Caenorhabditis elegans: one gene and its partners. The protein of the gene in region 4 interacts with the protein of the main gene of each other region in a pairwise test. Each region holds a gene or a part of one and is shown on either strand. Other genes may lie near its edges.

The links.
Region 1: the proteins of sorb-1 (region 4) and ehs-1 interact in a two-hybrid assay, tested with the Caenorhabditis elegans proteins (3 studies listed by BioGRID).
Region 2: the proteins of sorb-1 (region 4) and pat-12 interact in binary tests that used the Caenorhabditis elegans proteins (3 or more experiments, as listed by UniProt).
Region 3: the proteins of sorb-1 (region 4) and figl-1 interact in binary tests that used the Caenorhabditis elegans proteins (3 or more experiments, as listed by UniProt).

What each region holds. Positions count from the first base shown.
Region 1 is NC_003280.10:5,819,198-5,824,409, reverse strand, and holds ehs-1 (Eps15 (endocytosis protein) Homologous Sequence), read right to left. Parts: upstream 3,699-5,212; 5' UTR 3,691-3,698; coding exon 3,628-3,690; intron 3,581-3,627; coding exon 3,400-3,580; intron 3,317-3,399; coding exon 3,204-3,316; intron 3,158-3,203; coding exon 3,026-3,157; intron 2,912-3,025; coding exon 2,202-2,911; intron 2,149-2,201; coding exon 1,232-2,148; intron 1,134-1,231; coding exon 932-1,133; exon of another isoform or gene 885-931; coding exon 812-884; 3' UTR 548-811; downstream 1-547. Other genes in the region: tbc-2 (PH domain-containing protein), read left to right, coding at 1-59, 111-253, 304-324.
Region 2 is NC_003281.10:735,932-740,925, reverse strand, and holds the start of pat-12 (Protein pat-12), read left to right. Parts: upstream 1-1,947; coding exon 1,948-2,097; intron 2,098-3,245; coding exon 3,246-3,332; intron 3,333-4,994. Other genes in the region: idpp-1 (SXP/RAL-2 family protein Ani s 5-like cation-binding domain-containing protein), read right to left, coding at 1-238.
Region 3 is NC_003283.11:4,340,929-4,347,568, forward strand, and holds figl-1 (Fidgetin-like protein 1), read right to left. Parts: upstream 5,072-6,640; 5' UTR 5,069-5,071; coding exon 4,485-5,068; intron 3,782-4,484; coding exon 3,350-3,781; intron 2,339-3,349; coding exon 1,708-2,338; intron 837-1,707; coding exon 699-836; 3' UTR 503-698; downstream 1-502. Other genes in the region: glrx-3 (Glutaredoxin 3), read right to left, coding at 137-379; hpo-18 (ATP synthase subunit epsilon, mitochondrial), read right to left, coding at 5,281-5,316, 5,364-5,492; mcm-7 (DNA replication licensing factor MCM7), read left to right, coding at 6,270-6,371, 6,420-6,640. UniProt on the Caenorhabditis elegans protein: Has a role in spindle assembly which acts in the progression through mitosis during embryogenesis. Required for fertility.
Region 4 is NC_003282.8:13,748,726-13,753,374, forward strand, and holds the start of sorb-1 (SH3 domain-containing protein), read left to right. Parts: upstream 1-1,607; 5' UTR 1,608-1,610; coding exon 1,611-1,649; intron 1,650-1,697; coding exon 1,698-1,902; intron 1,903-1,927; exon of another isoform or gene 1,928-1,948; intron 1,949-2,133; exon of another isoform or gene 2,134-2,157; intron 2,158-2,317; coding exon 2,318-2,448; intron 2,449-2,459; exon of another isoform or gene 2,460-2,480; intron 2,481-2,534; exon of another isoform or gene 2,535-2,558; intron 2,559-2,771; exon of another isoform or gene 2,772-2,792; intron 2,793-3,030; exon of another isoform or gene 3,031-3,051; intron 3,052-3,064; exon of another isoform or gene 3,065-3,085; intron 3,086-3,201; exon of another isoform or gene 3,202-3,222; intron 3,223-3,664; exon of another isoform or gene 3,665-3,685; intron 3,686-3,755; coding exon 3,756-4,609; intron 4,610-4,625; exon of another isoform or gene 4,626-4,646; intron 4,647-4,649. UniProt on the Caenorhabditis elegans protein: Required for organization of sarcomeres in body wall muscles and for maintaining normal mitochondrial position in myocytes.

The DNA of each region.
Region 1 (5,212 bases), on a different chromosome or scaffold from region 4:
ATTCGCACTGGCACTTTTCAAAATATGCGAACCTCACGTTCTTCAATGTAAAACTATTGGTTTGTGACTTACAACTTTAAATTTATTAGTTTTTTAACAAGAATTTTCAGGCACAGTTCATCAATGTCTCAGCAAAGCTCAAGAACATATCATTGACTTCAAGTCGCTAGCTCAAGTGGCATTCAACGAACTGAATCCGTTCCCTCAGAAGACTATAGAAACTAAACGACAACTCTATTTGACACAATTGAAGGTAAACAGTAATATATAAATAAATTCTAATATAGCGATTATTATTTTCAGGATACTGGCCACTGTATGTAAATCCGACACGAACATTCTTGTACATCTAATCTGTATTTTCTTTCGATTTCTAGCATAATTATGTCTTCTTCACACAACTTTTTCACTATTATTTTCAAACTTCTGTGATTCTCCTTTTTCCTTATCAATTTCTTTTACGGTTTACTTCCCCCCCTTCAACCCGTTTACTTGTGCTCCGTTTTTACACATGAGACTGAAAATATCAAATACGCAACATAAAATTAATCTGCAAATCATTTACTATATATTATAACTCATAATTTACATAATAATCATGCATATTCATATTCTACAGTATATAACATTATTGCTCTGATTTCATAACCTAGAAAAGTGACAATTCAAGTGGGAAAGTGCAAAAAAACTAATCTTAAAAATGTGCATCAATAAATTATGTCGATGACTTGGCACAGGTAAACATTTGGGCAAAGTAAAACAATTTGACTGGCGTTGGGGCTTATAGTGGGTAAGGTATAATTATTAAAAATCAATTGAAAGCCGATCCAAAGTCCGCAAAATCAGCGAATCCAGCCGGTTGAGTTGATTGTCCTTGTGATGGGCTGAAATTATTTAGACTTTAAATAAATTGATACTCACTAAGACTTACGCAAAAGGATCATTGACAGGTGTTTCGCGAGCAGATTTTGGAGGAGCTGGGCGAGGTGGAGCAGGTTTTGCGGGAGCCGATTGTGCGAAGCCAGAATCCGATGGGAAGCCTCCTTGAGCAAATGGATCAGTTGGGAAAGCGGCATCAAAATGTCCAGATGAGCCGAACTGATCTACTTGGGCGAATGGATCAGCAGCAGGATCTGGAAATTGAATTTATGTTATATATTCATATTTCAAAACTTTAAGTCAGAATAAAAGTTTTCATAACTCTTTTTGTTTCTTAAAAATATAAACCTACTTGCTCTGGCGGATGCAAACGGATCAGGTGGTTGTTGAACATGATTTTGAGATGATGTTCCAGCTGTTTCTCCATAAACAGTGTCATCGGATAGCAACGATTGATCGATTACAGTAGACAATAATCGTTGTTGCGACCTCAGAATTTGAACCATTTCCTCCTCGGATTTTTCGACTGCATCTGATACTTGTTCTGTTAGTTTTGTCGTGTTCTCGATTGCAGCATCCAGCTTTTCCATTTGTATCTGATCTCTTGCTTCTTTTCGTTCTAGAGTTGTCAATTCGGCCACCTTTTGCTCTCTTTGTGATGTTTCTTTGACAATTTCTCCACGAACAGTTTTGAATTGATTATCGAGCATTTCAATTTCTTTTTTCAATTCTTCCATTTCTTTTTCATCATTTGCTTTACAGTCCTCAGCATTCTTTGCATCTTCATCAATTTGTTGCATTCGTTTCTCGGTATCTTCTTTCGTTTCTTTCTGTGCTTTACATGCTGATTCTAACTGTTCTATTTGAGTATCATAATCAGCTAATCTTCGTGTGGCTTCACCTTTTTGTCGCTCCAACTGTTTAACTGTCGACTCCAAGGTGGCCAATTCAACCTGCAGATTTTTGATACTCGAGTTCTTAATAGTCATATCAGCTTCTAGTTGTAAAACAGCTTCTTCTGCAGTTTTCCGCTCCACCAGCATTGATTGAATAGACTCTGCGAGCTGCTTCATCTCTTCGTTTTCGCCTTCCAAAGCTTCTTTAATTTCCATCGAAGTTGCTTCTGGGAGCTGTGGAGTTGAAACTGATTGAGCAGGATGATGCAAAGCTGAAGGTTCCGTAGGTGGGCGGAATGAAGGTGGAATCAGATGTAAAGGCAGTTCTGATGGGATGGACTCGCCTCGTTTTGCCATGTCAAGAAGATGCATTCTGAAAATTAATATTTAGTTACACTAGATATTTGGTAAACTTGAAAGACTTACGTCAAAGCAAATTGCTCCAAATTCAACTGTCCACATTTTTTTATATCTGCTAATGCCCAGACATGTGCTAATATCTGTGCACTCAATCCAGTAGTCATCATGGGAGCTCTCATATCCATGCCATCAACCAATCCATCCTTATTCGTATCAGTTTGAGCAAATTGATCAGCATAATCTCCTGTATTGATAGGCCATTCACCAGCAGGAAATGAGTGAATCGAGTGAGAAGCAGATATCGGAGTTGATGCACCACTGGTTCGTGATCCATTCACATGAGCCTGTGCAGAGTAAGCACGACCTGGTTGTGGTGGATATGCACGTGGCATCGTTGCAGAATACGATTGACTCATGTTCACATCATCCAATGACGTCACAGATCCTGCTCTCGATCCCATCATCGGACGTGGAGGATGTGGAGGAGCAGCGAAATTCGGTGAGCTGTGAGCATACATTGCTTTCGAAGGATGAATGAGATTTGGTGGGAGCTGTGCAGGAACCGGGTCTGATTGAAGTGATCGGTATACAAGATGAAGTGCAACAGACATTTCGATTCGATCAAGGTTTCCATCTTTGTCCTGATCCGAAAGTTCCCAAATTCGAGCCAGAGCATGAGCATCAAGTCCAGAGTTCATCAGAACCGGGCGTACGTGTGCACCAGACAATTTTCCGTTTACAGGATTCAATGATTGGAAGATGGAGTCATATTTAGCCTGAAATAATTACAAGAATATTTGATCAAATCTGTAAAGGAAAATAACTGTCAATTCTCTATTCGTGCCAATAGAAAGATTTTTTAAAAGTTTTTAATTCTCAGTTTTTGCTACCTGGTCAGTTGGTGTTATCGGCCATTGTGGTGGAAAAGCTGACGATGGATGAGCTGGAGAAGATTGTTGAGAAGAGATCGAATAAGGATGTGATGGATGTGGTGGTGGTGGCACTGGAGGAGCACGGCCAACCTGAATAATAACACTTAGAAATAGAGGAACCACTTTTCAGTCAAACCGATGGGAACGATGGTTGGAAATGATGCTGCATGTTTGCTGGTGGTACAGGTGGTGCAAACCGTGGTGGCTGAAGGGAAGAATCGTAGAGGGAAGAATTGGCGACGGGCTTCCCTGAAATATTTTGCTGTTAAGGTTACTTTTGAGCATATCGTATTTTCAACAAAATATGATTCCAAATAGGTAATAAAAGTTACCTTGTTGAGCAGCTGCGACTAGTTTAAAAGCAACAAATGCTCCTCTCTTATCTAATGATCCAACTTTTTGAGAGTCGCTAAGCTCCCATATCTGGCCTAACACAGGCATCGCCAAGTTTGATTTTTTAAGGAAAGTAGCTGCTTCTGCAGCTCCTATTCTTGGTGCTCCGTGAGGGTTCATCTGGAATATAACAATTGTTAACGTATTACAAATTGTTAAATATTTACCTCTGCGAATGCGTGATTAAAAACATCATTGTGCGGTGTAGCTATCGCGTATGAATCATCCATGTTGAAAGCTGAAACATTCCAGATAATAAAAGAAAAAAATTAAATATAGTGAAATTTAAGACTATTTTTAAATGAAACAGAAATAAAAGAAAGTTCACTAAAATGTATTGAAGATTGTTAAAAAGAAGAAGGCGTTGCGAGGAATAACGTCGTGTGTCTTCTGAATGAAAGCTCTCTCTCTGCGCCTCTCAACTACTTCCGAGCACTCTAGTACATCGATTTTCCGTCTCTTTTAAGCTTTCGTTTCCTTTTCATGTCGGTCCCTTTTCTCTTTTGGTGAACCAACGGAGGAAGAGAATGTGAAATATGCAAAAGTATTGAGTTTCAGTGGGAAGAGTCCCGGCCCTCTATGATAATGATTACAAAACAAATATATTGATTTAAATTGTAGCCAATTTTTGAAACAGGAATATATTTAACATTTTTCATTAACGGTGAGATAAAAAAATATCCCAATAACCCTATAATATATAATTATTATAAATAAACTAATTCGCAAAAGACTAAACCTGAATGACTCATTGTCGCAGTTTGTCGTCACTGTGTTTACACACACATTGTCAAGTTAATTTTATTCTGTCAAAACGGGAGAAAATAATCTGCGTATAATGCAATATTGTTTGCAATATATATTGTAATATTGTTTGCAATATATATTGCAAATAAAGCGTCTACATCGTAATTATTGAAAATAGTGATAAAATTAAATATTCAACAGATAGCATTAAAAAATCTTGCAACAGTAAATGAGAGAATTAATTAAAATCGTTAAATTAAAAACAATTAATTCTGAAAATTAAAATTTTCACTGTCGCGGACGAGTTTTCAGAAGCGCTCTATTGATAATTGTGAAAAACTTCGGCCGTGAACAACACGAGGACAATATCAAGAAACAGGCGAGCATTCGAAATATATTATTTGTAAATACAAGCAAAATAAATCAAATACACCCGTTAGTGGAATGTTTTCCTATATCATACATCTAATTTGAATATAAAACTCAAATTATCGTATCCCCATTGGCGAAATTTTCCGATTTTAACACCCAAAATACGGTACCGGGTCTCGACACGACTGATTTTTTTGAATTTAAAATCGTGTCTTTGAGGAGTACTGTAGTTTATTTCAATTTTCCAAGATTACCTTCTCATGTCCCCAGAATTAATTTAGTGAAAATCAAGGGAAACACAGGACACAATAAAACATTGAGTTTCGAAGACCTGGGACTAATTAAACAAAAGTAAGCCTGAAACCGCCTATCCTGAACCGAATGGCAATTTTGAAACTACTCCAGTTAGCTAGAAAAATATATATTTTGAGCAATAAAAATGTTTTCCGAGTAATCGAATGATAAACACAACAATGAAAATGAATAATTGTTTATTAATAATTGTTAGATTGTTAGATAGATAAAATGAAAGTTCTTTCAAATGCAGTCAGCTCCATCTTTCATCATCTCTTATCTATGAATTCAAGGCATTGCATATGATCTTGTTGATAATTCTGAAATCTAAAAAATTCG
Region 2 (4,994 bases), on a different chromosome or scaffold from region 4:
TGGCCCAGATTGTGAGCTGCTCATTTTGCTGATCTTGAGAGAGTTGATCGTTACTAACAATGTCGAAGAACTCTTTTCTAGCAAATCTAGGCACATGCATCAAGAATCTAGGGAACAATGGTCCATCGGGAGATGGACGTTGAGCTTGTTGCCCACCAAATTCTAGTTCCGATGAGTCTTCGGAAAGCTGCGCCAAACAAGGGATAAGTAGTGCGGAGAGCACAATGAGCAACCTCATCGTTTGCTGGAAAATCTAGAAGTTACGGCGACCAAAGAAAAATTTGAGGAAAAGGGAAAATTAAACGGTTTCTTTCTCAAAGTTCCCAGTTGACTCCTTAAATACTTTAGGCCTAGTCTACCTGATCGCGATGTGTGTTCCTTTGAGCACACACGGTCATTTTTTCCTACAACGTTAGAAAGTAAACTTCTGCGTGCGCGCGCGCAAGCACGGAGCCAGAGAAAAACAGTCTCACTACCTAAGAAAGCCGATCATGGGGTCACTAACCTGGAAAATAGTTGAGCATTTGTGGAGGGTAACGAGGCAATCAACAAACAACCTGGCTTTCTCCTTCCGCATTTGAGATCCGCATCAATTTAGTTAAGGGGGAGGGAGGAAAGAGAGAAAGTTCAAATTTTGTAGTTTTTCAAAAATCGTGTAAATACAATTAACTTTAGGGAACTTTTAGAAGAAAGTGCAACTTACGACAAAAAAATCACAGTGATCAGCGCCAGATTGCGTCGCGAGAAACGTTTATTTTACAAAATCATTAGGCTCTGTATAAGTGACTCATTATTTTAAACTTATTTGTTGGTCTCAATATACTTTTCTCTTACAGGTTATCACAAATGCTAACATGCCATATATCTCCACGAGAATTCCGGATCCCCGCCGGAACCTAGCCGGAGACTTCCCAAGTGAGCATAGCAAGTCGAAGATCAAACTTGATCCGCTCGAGCAACGTCGGTTCAGAGTAAGCCGTACTTTTGAAGACTGAAATAAAATTTTATATCATGTTCAGAGCAGTGAATCGCGTCCAATCACCACCAGCAACTATCTCGCCGAGAGTGTCGATCGCCATCGTGAGATGGAAGCATCCCGGCTCAGAGAGTATTTGAAGGTGATTTTAATTTAATAAAGTCATGAAATTATAAAATTAAACGTTCTAGGCAAAGGAAAACGAAGCCAATCAGCCATGGAACAAACCAGGGTGGCCTGGACCAAAGAAGAATGATGAGAGCCTGAGGGAGCTTGAAACCATGAAACAGGTGAGCATGCATAGCACTGCATGAAAAGTATAGTTAAAAAGTAATTCGGAGTTCCGCATAAATCTAGGTATTCAAATAGTTAAATTAGAAAATATAAGGAAAATTTGGCAATACATCACAAATGTATTACACAAAGCCTACAAGTGATGACCAACAAACTTTGTCGAACCCTTGAAAAAAAAAATTTATTTTAAGATTGTTAAATACATTTTCAAAAATCGACCCGATTACCCAGTTGACAAAATTAAGAGATGTCATTGGTTTAGGGTTACCTTATTCACACTAGAACATTTTTTATAATTTTGTTTCCAGAGAATCGAGACGCTGAAAAGAGTAAGTCTATATCCCCTTTCTTGCATGTTTGTTTGTCTTCCTGTTTGTCCTTATGTGCATGTTATACTGTGTTGTCCCTCCTTTAAAAAAGATATCCCTGGCTTGGAAACGACAACACATGGATCCTCCTACTACCTACTGACCAACTTCCCTGAAACTACACGGTGTGGTGTGAAGCGTAATAGTGTGTAGAGAGCCGTCAGCCGAAATTCAGAAAACTTCCCAATCGATGAGCGATTTGTCAGTCTTGCCTACGCCGTCACAATTCGAGCAGCTAAATCCGGTGAGTAGACGGGGATGTTTTCGGGTACTCCAGGTTTTCAAAACGGAGCATTCGTTGAACAATAAATGAGTTTTCAGCAACCTCAAGCTTCTCCAATATCTCCGGGAGATTCTGGATGGCTGATCAAAATGCGCAAAAATCGATATTTGGATCACACCTCAAAGGTGAATGAGCCTAAGAAGTACAGATCAATGGACCAGCTTCCGACTGGAAAAGTAAGCCCCTGTCTATACTCTCAACCCAAAAAATCTCAACTAATGAGATCCACCAAAAAATTTGCGTCCTGCGCTCTACGCCAAATCGAATAGTGTCTCTGCCGAAGAGTTTTCTCTCGCTTAACACATCTCTCCTTCGATCGAATAGAAGCCTCTTGAAACTTCCGCCGACGCACACACAAACTGTATGTGTGGCTGCTGGAGGCTCTGCGCGGCGAGAGAGGGGGCTTGACGGATAGAATTTGAAACTCTTTTCTTTTCCTCTTTACTCCTCCTTCATTTTTATGAGGATTTTCCTTTTTTTTGAAATTTTTTTTAATGAGTAGGTTTTTTTTAGAGGTTTTCAGGTTAAAGTTGTAGGAATTTTTTGTTTCTTGTTAAAAATGATGCATAACGAGACTAAGGCTTAGTCGTAGTTTAAGGCTCAGACTTAGGGTGCAGTGTAATCCGTTTAAGCCTAACTATAAGATAAACATTATTCTTAGGTGTAGGTATAAGCATAGGCTTAGGCTCAGACTTAGGCGTATGTATAAGCTTAGACTTAGGCCTATGTTTAGGCGTAGGTATATGCTTAGGTTTAAGCTTAGGATTGTACTTAGAATTATGTTTAGGCTCAAACTTAGGTTTTGTCTTGATCATACAGTCTTAAGATCAAAATGAAAGGAAAAGTGTTCATTGCATATATTCCTTTTTAGTTAACTTTCAGTTTTTTTTCAAAATTGTTATTGCCTAAAAATAAGACTAAAATTCAGTATTGGTTGAGGTTTTTAATTTCTTGGTGACAAAAAAAAAACGAACTAATCTAGTTTGATATTCCAAAATAATCATGTTCGACCATCATATGTTATTTCCTTTTCCATATTTGATGCTTTATTTTTTTTTTAGAAAATCCTATTGACTTTGAACCTTCATTGCTTCCTTATCTTCACTCTATCTCTTACCGCAATCATAAATTGTTTGTTTCGAAGTTTGTTCGGAGCAGCAGTAGCAGGCGCCCGCGCTCGCGCACCTCCCACAATAATTGTCGGTGTATGCGTGGGGGTGATGCTTTGACTGTTGAATCAGTAATCCGAAATAAAAACAAAGCAATTTTCGAATTGAACAACATTGAAACAAATTGCCTAAAATACAAACAGTTTTGATTACAGGTTGGTGCACCCGACAACGAGAAGTCGGAAGGTACAGATCCGCTGCACTGGCAACTGAGGAAAGACTTCCATTTGGCTAAGTATTCGGTATGTTTTAGTTGGTAACAATTTTGAATATCTGAAAAATTGTAAATTAAGGATCTAGTGAACCAATGTATCAAACCATTAGAATTACAACGATCAGACTTACCTAGTAAATAGTCATCTCCAAAAGGAGTATCTTCAAAGCTAAAAAATGTCCAAGTCGAGAAATAGGTTAATTAATTACAACTTTAGCAAGTCTTGAAGTCCAATTCATAGCTTAAAACATAAGGATCTACCCCGAATTCTATTTTTTTACTGCATAGGAGTTCTACAACGACCCAGGAGATCTTATAAAATTATAGTACTCTCTGGAGCTGTTTTTAAGGCCTAATAACTTTTCTATGCCACCACTATGTATTATATGAAAGTGAAATAAATATCGAAAATTCTACTTTAGTTTGTTAAAATTCACTTCAACTTCTGAAAAGATTATATTAGTGTAACAAACGCACTTGGAGTCAGAATGTCTCAATTCAGTTTGATCTTCAAAAAATGCGGGAGGTAAGACACAGACATCTGATTTTTTTGTATGATTGAGCGTGCTGACACCACAATTTTTTTGGGAAAAAATTCCCGCATTTTTCGTAGACCACACTGTAATGGGAGAGCCTGACACCACCTGCAAACGTATTCCTAAACATTTACAGAAATTCGTTAAATCCCAGTCATCTCCACACATAGATGTATTTATCATTTCTCTGCAGTAGTTCTTAACCGTCATGCGTTCCGCGTCGTTCTTATGTTCCGCGCACCGGGGAAACACGCATTTGACCCGAATAGTGTGCTCATGGTGATAAGTGTTCATGCTCGTGCGTGCCTTAACCTCCTCCTCCCCTGTGTTGCTCCTGGCGCTTTTTGCTTCGTTTTGTCTTTCTCTCCACTATCCCTCGTTTTTAACATACGAAACAAGAAAGACAAACACATTCGTCAAAATCCTAGGAGTTCCCGGGTGCGTCTCTCCGACCTCTCACTAAGTCTCTGGCTCCCCATTATCCTCAAAAGCACTGTGTTTTTTTTCATTATTAGGTGCCAGAATCTAGGTTCAATCTTTTCAATTCTATTTCAATTTTTAAATTTGATGGTTGCAACCAAATGTTTCTCGGCGGAACAGCTTTAACATACCTATTGTTTCAAAAACTTTTGTGGTCAATAGACATAACTCTGAGCGCAAGGCACCCATCTCTAATCACTGTTGCTTCTGTTTGCTGGGCGGGTGAGAAAAATGTCCAACATTGTGTTGTACTTCTTTTTCAAAACCATTCTTTTTCATCGTTACACCAGCACTCTCGTTTCCTGCGTTTCTCACAATTTTGGGATTCTCTGTTTATTCGAGTACATACCGTAGTGGTCGGCTCTCGCTGCTCAACACTTCATTTTTTGCCCTCGAAAAGAGTTTTTTTGGAAAGTTGCAAATTCAAAAATCACGGAGATATTGTTTTGTTAACTTTTATTGGCGAAATCGATTTTTAAAAAAAATTCTCTAACAAGATACCTTTTCAAAATTAAAAAGTGTCCATCATTGAAATGATCTCATCTTTGACCAAATCTATAATTTTTATATTTATAGTTACTCTATTTTCTTTTCTCCCACTGAGATCTCGTCTTGCCTTATTGAAAAATCCTAGAGAATTATATAGAAAAGTTACTGACAATTAGGCTTCCATC
Region 3 (6,640 bases), on a different chromosome or scaffold from region 4:
TTTCAAAATGTGGTTTTCAGTGGTTTTTAACGTTTTTCAATGACTTTTTTCCTAAAAAAAAGTTCAGAATAAATCGAAACTTTTCTTTGTTTTTTTTCACAAATTTCAATTTCTTGTTTTTTCGTTGCTCACTTACACTAAAAAATACAAGCGTCGGCGCAGCAGTAATCTTGAAATTCAACGAAATTCCGGGCAAAGCTTCAGCGTCAATGAAGGCGGCACGAAGCGGCAGAGCAATTTCAGCGAGCAAATCATCCAGTAGCTGATTAACTTGCTCACAGCTTGGAGCCCACGATGCGTAGAAATGAAGAACAGCTGGAGATGGTTCCTTAATGAACGCAGCAACCTCCTCTCCTGACTTGATTTCTTGAATTGGCATTCTGGAATTTTTTGGCTGGCAATGGTAAAAAGCTAGAAATTTGAATAAAAAAATTAAAAAAATATACGAGAAAGGTAAAATAAACCTTGAAATTTCAATAATGAATAATGAAAAATATGTTTAAAAATTGAAAATATATAATAATTTTCAGAAAAAATATAAAAAAAAACAATGAAATACGGATCGTTTTGAGATCATAATATAGAAAAGAGATGGAATGCATAATACAGGAGAAGATTTCAATGAAAATAAAAATAAATAAATAGAAGAAGTGGATGGAATTATAGTACACATATTCGACAGCTCAATTCTGAAGGTCTCAACGGGATATTGAAGGAGGTGGAAGGCAACCGAATTTTTTGTCCCAAGCCGCGTAGGCATCCAATTGAGAATCGTCGACTGTTGGCCGAACGACACGAGCTGCTTCGGCGAAATCCATTACAGTAACGGCACGAATCTGAAATTTTCATCGATTAGTTGATTAAAACCGGAGCATTTGATGTTTCAGAGCTCGAGTGTTTATCTAATTTTTATGATGACCGAGTGCAAAAATAGAAAATAAATGTGACAATTCGTACGGCAAATGGTAAATAAAAAATAATAAGATTCGTCAGTCATGTGAGAGAGTTGCGAAATTGTTTGTTGTTGTGGCATGACATTTCATAAATTTTCGAAAAGTGTTCATTTTCGGAACATGGAGGTGTTTTATTATGTGGACGGAGGAAAATGAGATTTTTTAAATTGAGGTGCAATCGCGCTCTAACGCTAAACATTGGGTCTCGTTATGTATAAGAGGAACATTAAATTTATATAATGCGTATTGTGCAACATATTTGACGCGCAAAATATCTCATAGCGAAAACTACAGTAACTCTCTAAATGTCTAATGTAACTCTTGTGTCGATTTACGAGATTCATTGTTTCGAAAATCGTACCCGTAAATCGACACACGCGCTACAGTAGTCATTTAAAGAATCACTGTAGTTTTCGCTACGAGATATTTTGCTCGTCGAATATGTCGTGCAGTACGCATTCTCCGAATTCAGTGTTACCGTAATATTGGCGGCAAATTCAAGTTTTTAATTCGATTTTACTGAAATCATCCGTTTATATGCATTTTTTGATTTATTTTCAGTTGCTTTCTGGTTTTCATGCCGAAATGATTCTTGAAAATGCACGTGAAGCTTCGATATTAACGCATAATCAAAAGCAATGGGATTTTTTTTCTTCCTAACGAGACCCAGCATTATGAGGCGGGGCAATTTCAATTGGCCGTGGAGCGCGATTACACCGATCACAAGTGTTTGATATTAATTCAGAATCCTCACATCATCCTTATCAATCGTCTCAATATCGTCTCCAATGTCTCTGATAGGACCCATCGCTGCTTCAGTGCACAATTGCCTCATGTCAGCTCCAGAATAGCCGTCTGTAAGCTCTCTAATCCGCTCCAAATTATGATTTGTGATATCATGACGCGTGCCTACAAGTAGATTCTGCACAATTTGTGTGCGCGACTCTGGCTCCGGAAGCGCAATGTACAGTCGCTTCTGGAAGCGTCGACGAGCAGCTTCATCCAACTCTTGTGGCCGATTTGTGGCACCCAATACAAGAAGCCGTTCATCTGGAGCCGTATTCACACCATCCAACTGTACCAGGAACTCTGTCTTGATGCGCCGTGAAGATTCGTGTTCCGATTCCGACCGGGATGATAGTAACGAGTCGATCTCATCGATGAAGATAACACTCGGAAGTTTCAGACGAGCAACTGAGAACAGAGCACGAACAAGCTTTTCACCTTCTCCAACCCATTTTGAGGTTAACGACGATGCTGAAATATTGAAGAAAGTGGCTTTGCACTGGGAAGCGACACATCTCCCGATCATTGTTTTTCCGGTTCCTGGTGGTCCGAATAGAAGAACACCTTTCGGTGGAGCACGGATTCCGGTGAAGACGTCACTGAAAAAAATTATAATTGTCAATTAAATTTTTGGAGGATTTTTTAAATTGCTTTATTAGACTCAAAATTGTCTGAAAACACCGAATTTTATAATGAAACTTCTTGAAAAATTCTCAAAAAAAAGTTATGACGGCTCAAAAAATGGCTTAAAATTAGTTAAAATTTGAAATTTGACTTGTCAGCGGATGGAAACAATTTTTTTGAAATCACCGTAAAATTTTGAGTATACAGGTCAATTATCTTGCGTTTTCAACTCGATTTAGGTATTTTAAAGTCGATGGACGGCGAGATTAAAATTGTTTTTTTTTACCAAATCTCGCCGTCCATCGACTTTAAAATACCTAAGTGAAGTTGAAAACGCAAGATAATTACATTACATACTCAAAATTTGACGGTGATTTAAAAAAAATTGTTTCCAGCCGCTGCGACATTGACAAGTCGGTCAAATTTCAAATGTTAACTAATTTTAGGACATTTTTTAAGCCTTCATAACTTTTTTTTGAGAAGTTTCCAAGTAGTTTCATCATAAAATTCGGTGTTTTCAGATAATTTTGAGTCTAATAATGCAATAAAAAATTCGACTACACCACCTTTAAAGGAGGTTTTTTTGCGTGTATAGACTAAAAGCACAAAATAAGCGTTCAAAACCTCGTAAAAATAGCTAATTTTATCTAAAATCTCGAATTTCGTCTATTTTTCCTGTCCGCATCAGCTGAAACACTATTTTATTGAATTATCATCCTTTTTAGCATCTTTTGGTGGTTTATATCACATTTTTTCGTCAATTTAGGTTCATTTAAGTCGATAAAAAATTAAACAATTAAATTAAAAACACCTATCGGCTTTAAGTGTACCTACGTCAACAAAATAATGTGAAATAAACCACCAAAAAAAGTGGAAAAGTTGACAAAAAACGAGATTTTAACCAATTTCAGCCATTTTTGAGCACTTTATGAGTCTGAGCAAGCTAAAAACCCGAAAAACCCTTTTTTTCTCCTTTCAGAACGTACGGTCTTTTAAATGGCAGTACAACAATCTCCCGTAATGCTTTTTTCGCTCCTTCCAATCCAGCAACATCAGCCCATCCGATCTCATTGTTCACAGACATAATTTCCGATTCAATCAATGAAATGATATTTTCATCAAAGTGCTTTAGCGTTGGCTCAGCTCTCAATCCACTCATTTTTTCATCTTTTCCACCTCCTTCCGTATCCATTCCCATCGCCTTTCTGATGAGCGGATTGGAGCATCGTTTCGGGATATCCGGTGCTCTTCTGGCCGGTGGTATCCCTGCCAAGCTTCCAATCGATTGGGAACTGGATTGACGATCCAGAGGCACTTGGAACTTGCTATTCTGTGGATCCTGGCCGGCTGCAGTCGTAAATGATGGATAGAGGGTTCCGAGGGTATTTTGGATAGCTGCTCGGTTTTTCGTAGGTGCTCTGAAACGACGCTTTCATTTTTAAAAAAATCGATTAATATTACGGGAACACAAAATTCTGAGAATGCGTACTGCGCAACATATTCGACGCGCAAAATATTCTTTTTATGACTACTGTAGCGCTTGTGTCGATTTACGGGGGCTCGATTCTCGGAAAAAAAACAAAATTTTCGAATTTTGACAGCGATACTCAATTTTTCTTCGTTTTTTTTTCGAATACCATGGTCATTTTTGTGCTTATTTTTAATATTTTATCTATTAATAAATTACTTTAATTGCAAAAAACTCCAATTTTGGCGTTTTTTTGATGAGTAAGCTCATACAGGCGTATTTTTATATTATTTCCCGCCTATTACGGCAATAAACGGGAAATAGTGTTAAAAAAACGCTTGTGGAGTATTAGAGTATTATCATCAAAATGACGCGAATATTGGAGTTTTTTCAATTAAAATAATTTATTAATGGAAAAAAAATATTAAAAATAAGCACAAAAATGATAAAGGAATAGGAAAAAAACGAAGAAAAATTGAATATCGCTATCAAAATTCGAAAAATGTGTCTTTTTCCGAGAATCAAGCCCGTAAATCGACACAAGCGCTTCATTTAAAGAATTACTGTAGTTTTCTTTTTCGCTACGAGATATCTTGCGCGTCAAATATGTTGTGAAATACGCATTCTCAGAATTTCGTGATCTCTTAACGAACCTGGTCTTCTTAAAGTGCGGATTTGAAGCCACCTCGATGCCTTTCAGCGTATTTTCATGCATTTGCCGAATAAAATTCGGATCAGTTCTTCTAGCATTTGTAGGATCCACTATATCGCAGATTTTGTCTCTGATTTTCGTCACTTTATCGTCGCTTCCAAAATCGAAGCCTCGCATTGTGAACGGCTCTTCTCGGCGTTTTTCCTCCTTTGGTTTCGGAATTTCGCCAAGTTTGAAGCTGCTTTTCTCGCCAAGAAACGGTCGACTTTTGAGCTTCCGGGTGTCTTGTTTTTGTGAAAACGACACATCAACGGTTCTATCTTCGTCTTCATCAATTATTATCCCGTCTAGCTCGTCATCCAGACCATTTTGTTGAGAACGAGATTTGAATGGAGGCTGCTGCTGAGCTGAATCCGAAGGTGTCTCCACGACTATTTTTCGACGGGGTTTTCCGATAAAATACGGACTAATCCCATTGCGAGCAAGAGCCGTCGGTGGGTAAAGATCATCGTTATTTTCGCCGGTTTCGGGCCGTTTTCTCATTCCACTGGTCACATTGAGTTTTACCCGTTTTGGAGAATACATAATCTGAAAATAGTGTTTTTTGACCTGAAAACCCCCACAAAAAAATATTCAAAAAGACTGGGGTAACTTGAACAACTTAAAGGCAAAGGAATAATTGAGCTTAAAATTTATATCGTCTAATAAAATAAATCATAAACAATCGGAAGTGAGAGAAGAAAGGTATGGAATGTATCCAAATGGAATTATTCGAATACTGTTGTGCGATCATTTGTCTACTTTTGCTGCTTTCCATTTTCCCATGTGGTGATCTGAAAAATTCGTGTTAAAACTTGAATAATAAGGCGTATTTAATCACCTTGAGAGTTGCCTCTGGCTTCTTAACAGCGGCCTTTCCTCCGACTTGCTTGGTGCACTTGCGGGTGATCTCGGCAGCGATTTGCGAGTAACGCACGTAGTTGAGTCCAGCGGCTCTCCAGGCGACCATTTTCTGAAAAACATGAATAAAAAAGAAATATTGGAAAAAAGCGACTAATTTTGCACAAGAAAACAAAGAAAAACCGCAATTTTACTAATGAAATCTATCGATTTTAGCAATTAGAAAAGCTATTTTACAATTTGCGATTAAAAAACATTAATTTCATCTAAAAACAGCCAAAAATCAATGAAAAATCACAATTCTACTCTTGAAACAAAAAATGTGTCGTTTCTGCAGCAATTTATCGATTTTCGAAATTATAAAAGCTATTTTACAATTTGCGATTAAAATGTACATTAATCCCATCTAAAAACTAACAAAAAACCAAGAAAAACCACAATTTTACTGATGAGACAAAAAAAAACATTTTTTCTCAGAATTGCCTGTCGTTTCTGCAGCAATTTATCGATTTTAGCAATTATTTTACCAATTTTAATTAAAATAAACATTAATTCCATCTAAAAACAACCAAAAATCAATGAAAAAACGAACAATTTTCTTTAAAAACAGCTAAAAATGGCACAGTCCATGTCGGAAAAATATAAGTTAAAGGCGCATAGACTTTCGCACTCTGGTGGGTCTCGCAACGACATGAAGGAGGCAAACGCGCGAAATTCGAACGGACGACGCTGCCATCTGCCGCACATTCCTTCACTCTCTCGCTCATTTATTATCGGTTTTGTGCTACAAGAGCAGCTTTTTTCGCGATTTTTTCAGTTTTTCCAATTAAAAAATAAAATTTCCATCATTTCAGCCCGGCTCTATAATCCTATAATCTCACTCACCATGAAAACCACCACTTACAACACAGACTGGGCTGCCGAGAAGACGAAAATTCGCAGTTTCTTCGACGAATACTATGTGGACAATGAGGACGGATCTGGAAAGGTATTCCCGAATTTGGTGTATAAATGAGTATTTAAATTCAACTTTTAGGCATTCCCATATCGTGATCAAGTCTTTGAAATTGCTCGCCGCGACAAGCAGGCAATCGTTGTGAATGTTGACCATATTAAGGAATCTGATATTCCAGATGCTCTTGAACTCTCAGAAGCCATTACTTCCAATACAAAGAGATACGAAGTCCTGTTCAAGGACACAATTTCGGATATGATCCAGGACTATCTCGGAGACAAGCAAGCGCCAGTAATCGATGC
Region 4 (4,649 bases):
AAATTTTTTGCAAATTTTAACTGTTTCTATGAAGTGTTAAAGTTTCTGTTCTTCCTTTGAAACTAATAAGCTTGCGCTCCACCTTTTTTTAAATACAACGGTTACTTCTGGCCAAAAGAGTACTAAATCAAAGGTGTGATGATCATGATCATAGTGATGAAAAAGTTTGTCTGGTCACTTGAGAGCAGTTCCATCTTCTCTCCTCTCATTCTCTTTCTCTTCAGCAGGTCCATCCGGCAATTGCTTAACAAAAATTGAAAGAAGAAAGACGAAAAGTGTGTAAAGTCATGTATATAGTGAGCAAAAAGATAGAGAGACGCAGACACTGAGAGAATGTGATTCTGTTTCGTGTCCCGGGGACAGAAGACGCAATGAGGGACATTCTTAGTTTCTCTAAGTGTGGCTCTCGCAACAATAATATCACTCGATTTACTGATAAAATTTTTCTTATTTTGGTTTTTTTGTCGTATTTCAAAATAACAACTTTTCGTAAAACCTAGTACTGTTTCGGGCTTGTTAACTATTACAACTGTGAAACGGTAATTTTTATTATTTTAATTTTCAATAATTTTAGTTTTCAGTGAAATACATAACTGATTTTGCAACTCCTACAATCATTGAGTTCTAATTATTTAAACTTAATGAAAGTGTAAAAAATCGTAGAAATAATTTTTTGGGTCGAACCCCAAATTCTGATAGATGAAATGTGGCCTTTTCCCTGTTATAAAAAATTTTTAACCTAAAAGTTTTACTATTCTTGAAAAAACTGCTCAAGTGACCAGACAACATTTTTCAAAAGTTGTACGTCTTACATACTCATGGACAAAGGTGGAATAGATTTGAAAATGTTGTAAAAGCTTTACCATTTCAAAGAAACAGTATAAAATTTAAACACTTGTTCCAGAATGTTATTTTCATTTTTAAAATTAAAAAATTACAAGTGTCTTTTCTATTTTAAGAAAACAAAAATTAGCATTTTTCAATTCCAGCAATGGCAAAATTGTGATTGCCGTGCACATTTTACCCGGTCTTGGAAGCTATTTTTAAAAACTAGATACATTCTCATTCAAGTCTCAAAAGGTGTTCAAAACTTTAAAAACAATAACTTTAACACAAGCATTAACATTTCAACAAAAATTATGATTTTAAGGATTGCGTCAATTGAACGTGAATCCATTGTGGGAGCTTTAACACTTAAATGAAACAGTCAAAACAAAAATTGACAATATGGTCATTTAAGTACCATCCTTATAATTCCAAAAATGCATTCTACTGGCGCTCCTAAATGTCAAATTTAGTTGGAAATTGGGTTCAAAATCTTTATAGAATTTAAAAATCTAGTGAGAAAATATTTTGAAAATTAAAACAAATTTTCAAGATGTCTGAAGTTTTCTGGAAAATGGAAAATATTCTTGAATAGTGTACATCCCATGAATCTGCAATTATTGTCAGATTGGGTAAAGTTCGAGAACTATAAAAACTGTTACAGTACAAATTTCAAAAAAAAATCCCATTTCTGACAGAACATATTAGTCTTCCGTATTTCACATTTTTCATTTATTCTTTCCTTTATTTTGTTATACAATTCTTCAAACTCCCATATTCCAGGAATGATGCATCATCCTCATCCATTCGGGTCAAACCTGGCGGTAAGAGCTTTCAATTAATCTACTCCACAATCCCTAATTAATTTCCAGAACTCATCAGAACCACAACAGCCATCTGGTCAATATCTAAATCCTGCAGCAGATGCCTACAACTTTGACACCTTTGAAGATTCTGATAAATTCTCACCGAAGGGAAATGTGGCGGCGTTGAGAAATGTGATACATGGGCAGTTGGATATGAAGACACCAACTGGAAATAGTTCCAGATATCAGAAACCAGCGCCTCCGCCTGTTGGTGAGTTTTGTTTTTCTAGGCGTTCTATGTATTAAGCTACGAAATAATAGTTTTCGGAAAGTAACACATAGCTCATATGAATTCCTTGAAACTGTAAAAAATGTTAGTCAACAAGATAGTCAACAAATACACGATTGGCTGAGACCTGGTACCTCGACGGACCTGGAAGATGAAGCAGCAATTTTGCAATTAGATTTTTGTCATTTTTTCTATTAATAGTAAGATATTTTGGTTTCTGTCCGAATGCTGCAAACAGTAACAATAAAGTTTTGAAGTAGTCTTATAAACTATCTAAAACTGTTTTTTTTGTATAATTTTTTCTGATTTTGCGGAAAACAACTCCTGATGTCTCTCCTAACCAGCAATATTCAAAAAATCCAAATGTTTTGATGTTCAATAAAATAATAAATTCCAGACTCAACTCCTTCCTGGGCCAAAAATGTAAAAGTATACGAACCAAATGGATATGTGGATCCACATCTTAACAAGCATAATATGGGAAGAGTACTTGATGGTCCTGTCAATCCAAATAAATATTTTCAAGGAGTGAGTTTTATTTTGAAAAAAACAGCGATACAATAAAGCAACGAACTTTTCAAACTGAAAACAATGTGCTGAAATAGTTAAATTTAGTTATTACTGACCATTTTTTACTGATATTATTTTCTTTTTGGCTTTTTTTACAAGCTATGAGTGAAACACGTGAGTTTTTTTCTAGAAATTATTATCGACTAAAGCTTCACTAAAAATTGTAAAATATGAGCAAAATTATTTTGAGTTTTGAAGTTTTCTACTTTTCAGAAATACAATTCACAAGTAATAATAGCTTCTATATACGAAATTTCAAAAATTTAACAGTTTTTAAGTTAAAAAAGAACAAACCGATCAGATCAAACCGGAAAATTGTAAATGTCCTAAATGGCTTTCACGAAACAGTAGAACTTTCTTTTTAATTTTCCGAAAACACAACTTTTCAGTTCTATTTTGAAAATTGTACATTCCGGGAAGTTTATGAAAAATCCTTATGTAGATAAAAATTTACGCAAAATTGTTTTAAAAAACGTTAAAATTTTGTGTACAGTTTGAAGATTTGCAAAAATTTAAAACAATGAAAATACTTTTTCGTGTTGTCTATGAAAACTACATTACTATTTTTTTGTGATAGGAAAACTTATAGGAAAAATGTTTTGAGTACTTTTTAAAACTTGCAAATGCAAATGACCTGAAAAATCGCCAAGACATTTCATGTTGTTCTAAAAAATTTAGTGCTTATTCTCTTACTTAGACTTGTTGCGACACACTGAAGATTGAAACCAATAAACATTTTTCGCTTGTTCTATTGTCATGACATAAAATTCCTGAAACAGAAAAAATTGTGGTTTCTATTTTTTTTTTTTCAATTTTCTATGAAAATTGGGTCAAATAGTGTCTGAAAGTTGTCATTTGCTGAAAAAGTTTCACGGCAAACCCTAACTCAGGCACTATTTGAGATAATTTTCGAACTTTGCAGAAAAAATAAATATCATTATCAGATAGAACTCATAGAACAAACCTTGTCCTACATTTCTGTAATGATTTTTGATACAAAAAAAATATAATCACCAAACTAAAATACGTAGGTTTGTACATTTGCTGAAAAGATTTTCCGCGCAGAACTGATTCTAACCAGGAAAATCAATAAAATTATAAAGTTTTATTCAATTCGGTGTTGATACCTCCAATTTCTTGCAAACGGAATGCCAAAATCAGTTACTTGAAATTCGAAGCGGGGAAATTTGAAAGACCGACTCTATTAACATCTTCGCATTATGTTATGAAGTTGAAACAGCAGAATTATTTTTTGCAACTTCCAGGTTCCACCGGCCAGTTACAGTCAAGTAAAGCACAATGAGTCGAAACCACCAGTGCCTCCTTCCACAAAGCCTCCACACTCTGCTGCTCAAGCCCTTCAGGCTCAGGTCCTACAGAGCTCCAAAGCCCCCTCTCAACCCCAGCAATCTCAAAAAACGTCCTACCGAATCCCGTATGACGTGGCGCTCGATCCACGTCATCACCTCGGAGAATTCGACATTGATGACAGTGCATCAATTATTTCCTCGTGTATCTCGACATTTGGAGAATCTTCAGAAATTGCTGGATTTTCTGCGGCAGCCGAGCAACGGCATCTCTATGAGCAATATAGGAAAAAGTTAATGGAAGAGAAAAATGAATTGAAAGAGGGAAGTGAGACACCGTGTGTATCTTTGTCTGAAAAAGTGATGACGTCATCGACTGAAAATTTGAAAAATGGAAATAATCAGCAGAATCAACAACCTGAGCCTCAGCCTCCATCAAGCTCAATATTCAATTCAGAACTCACACCGTTTGGCCACGTGGCTCCTGTTGCTAAACAATTTGAACCAACAAATTTTCCACCATTTTCTCCAGAAAAAGAGAGTGAAATCAAGAGATCTATCGATTTGGAAAGTTCCCAACTTCTCGTAAAATCAAAATCCCCGGCTCCCTACTCTACAAGCTCGACGGATCATTATGGAACTATTCGAAGGAAGCATAAACCAGTGGCAATTGACCTTTCCAAGTCATCACCCAACTTGGCGAGTCAATCGCCGAGCAATTTATTTTTTGGAGCCAGCTTTGAGGAGAAGCAAAATCGATCGCCGATGACATCAACTCCGTCTTATAAAGAACAAGGATTCAAAAATGATAGGTGAGTTGATGTTTTCGTGGAACATATGTAATGAAAATTG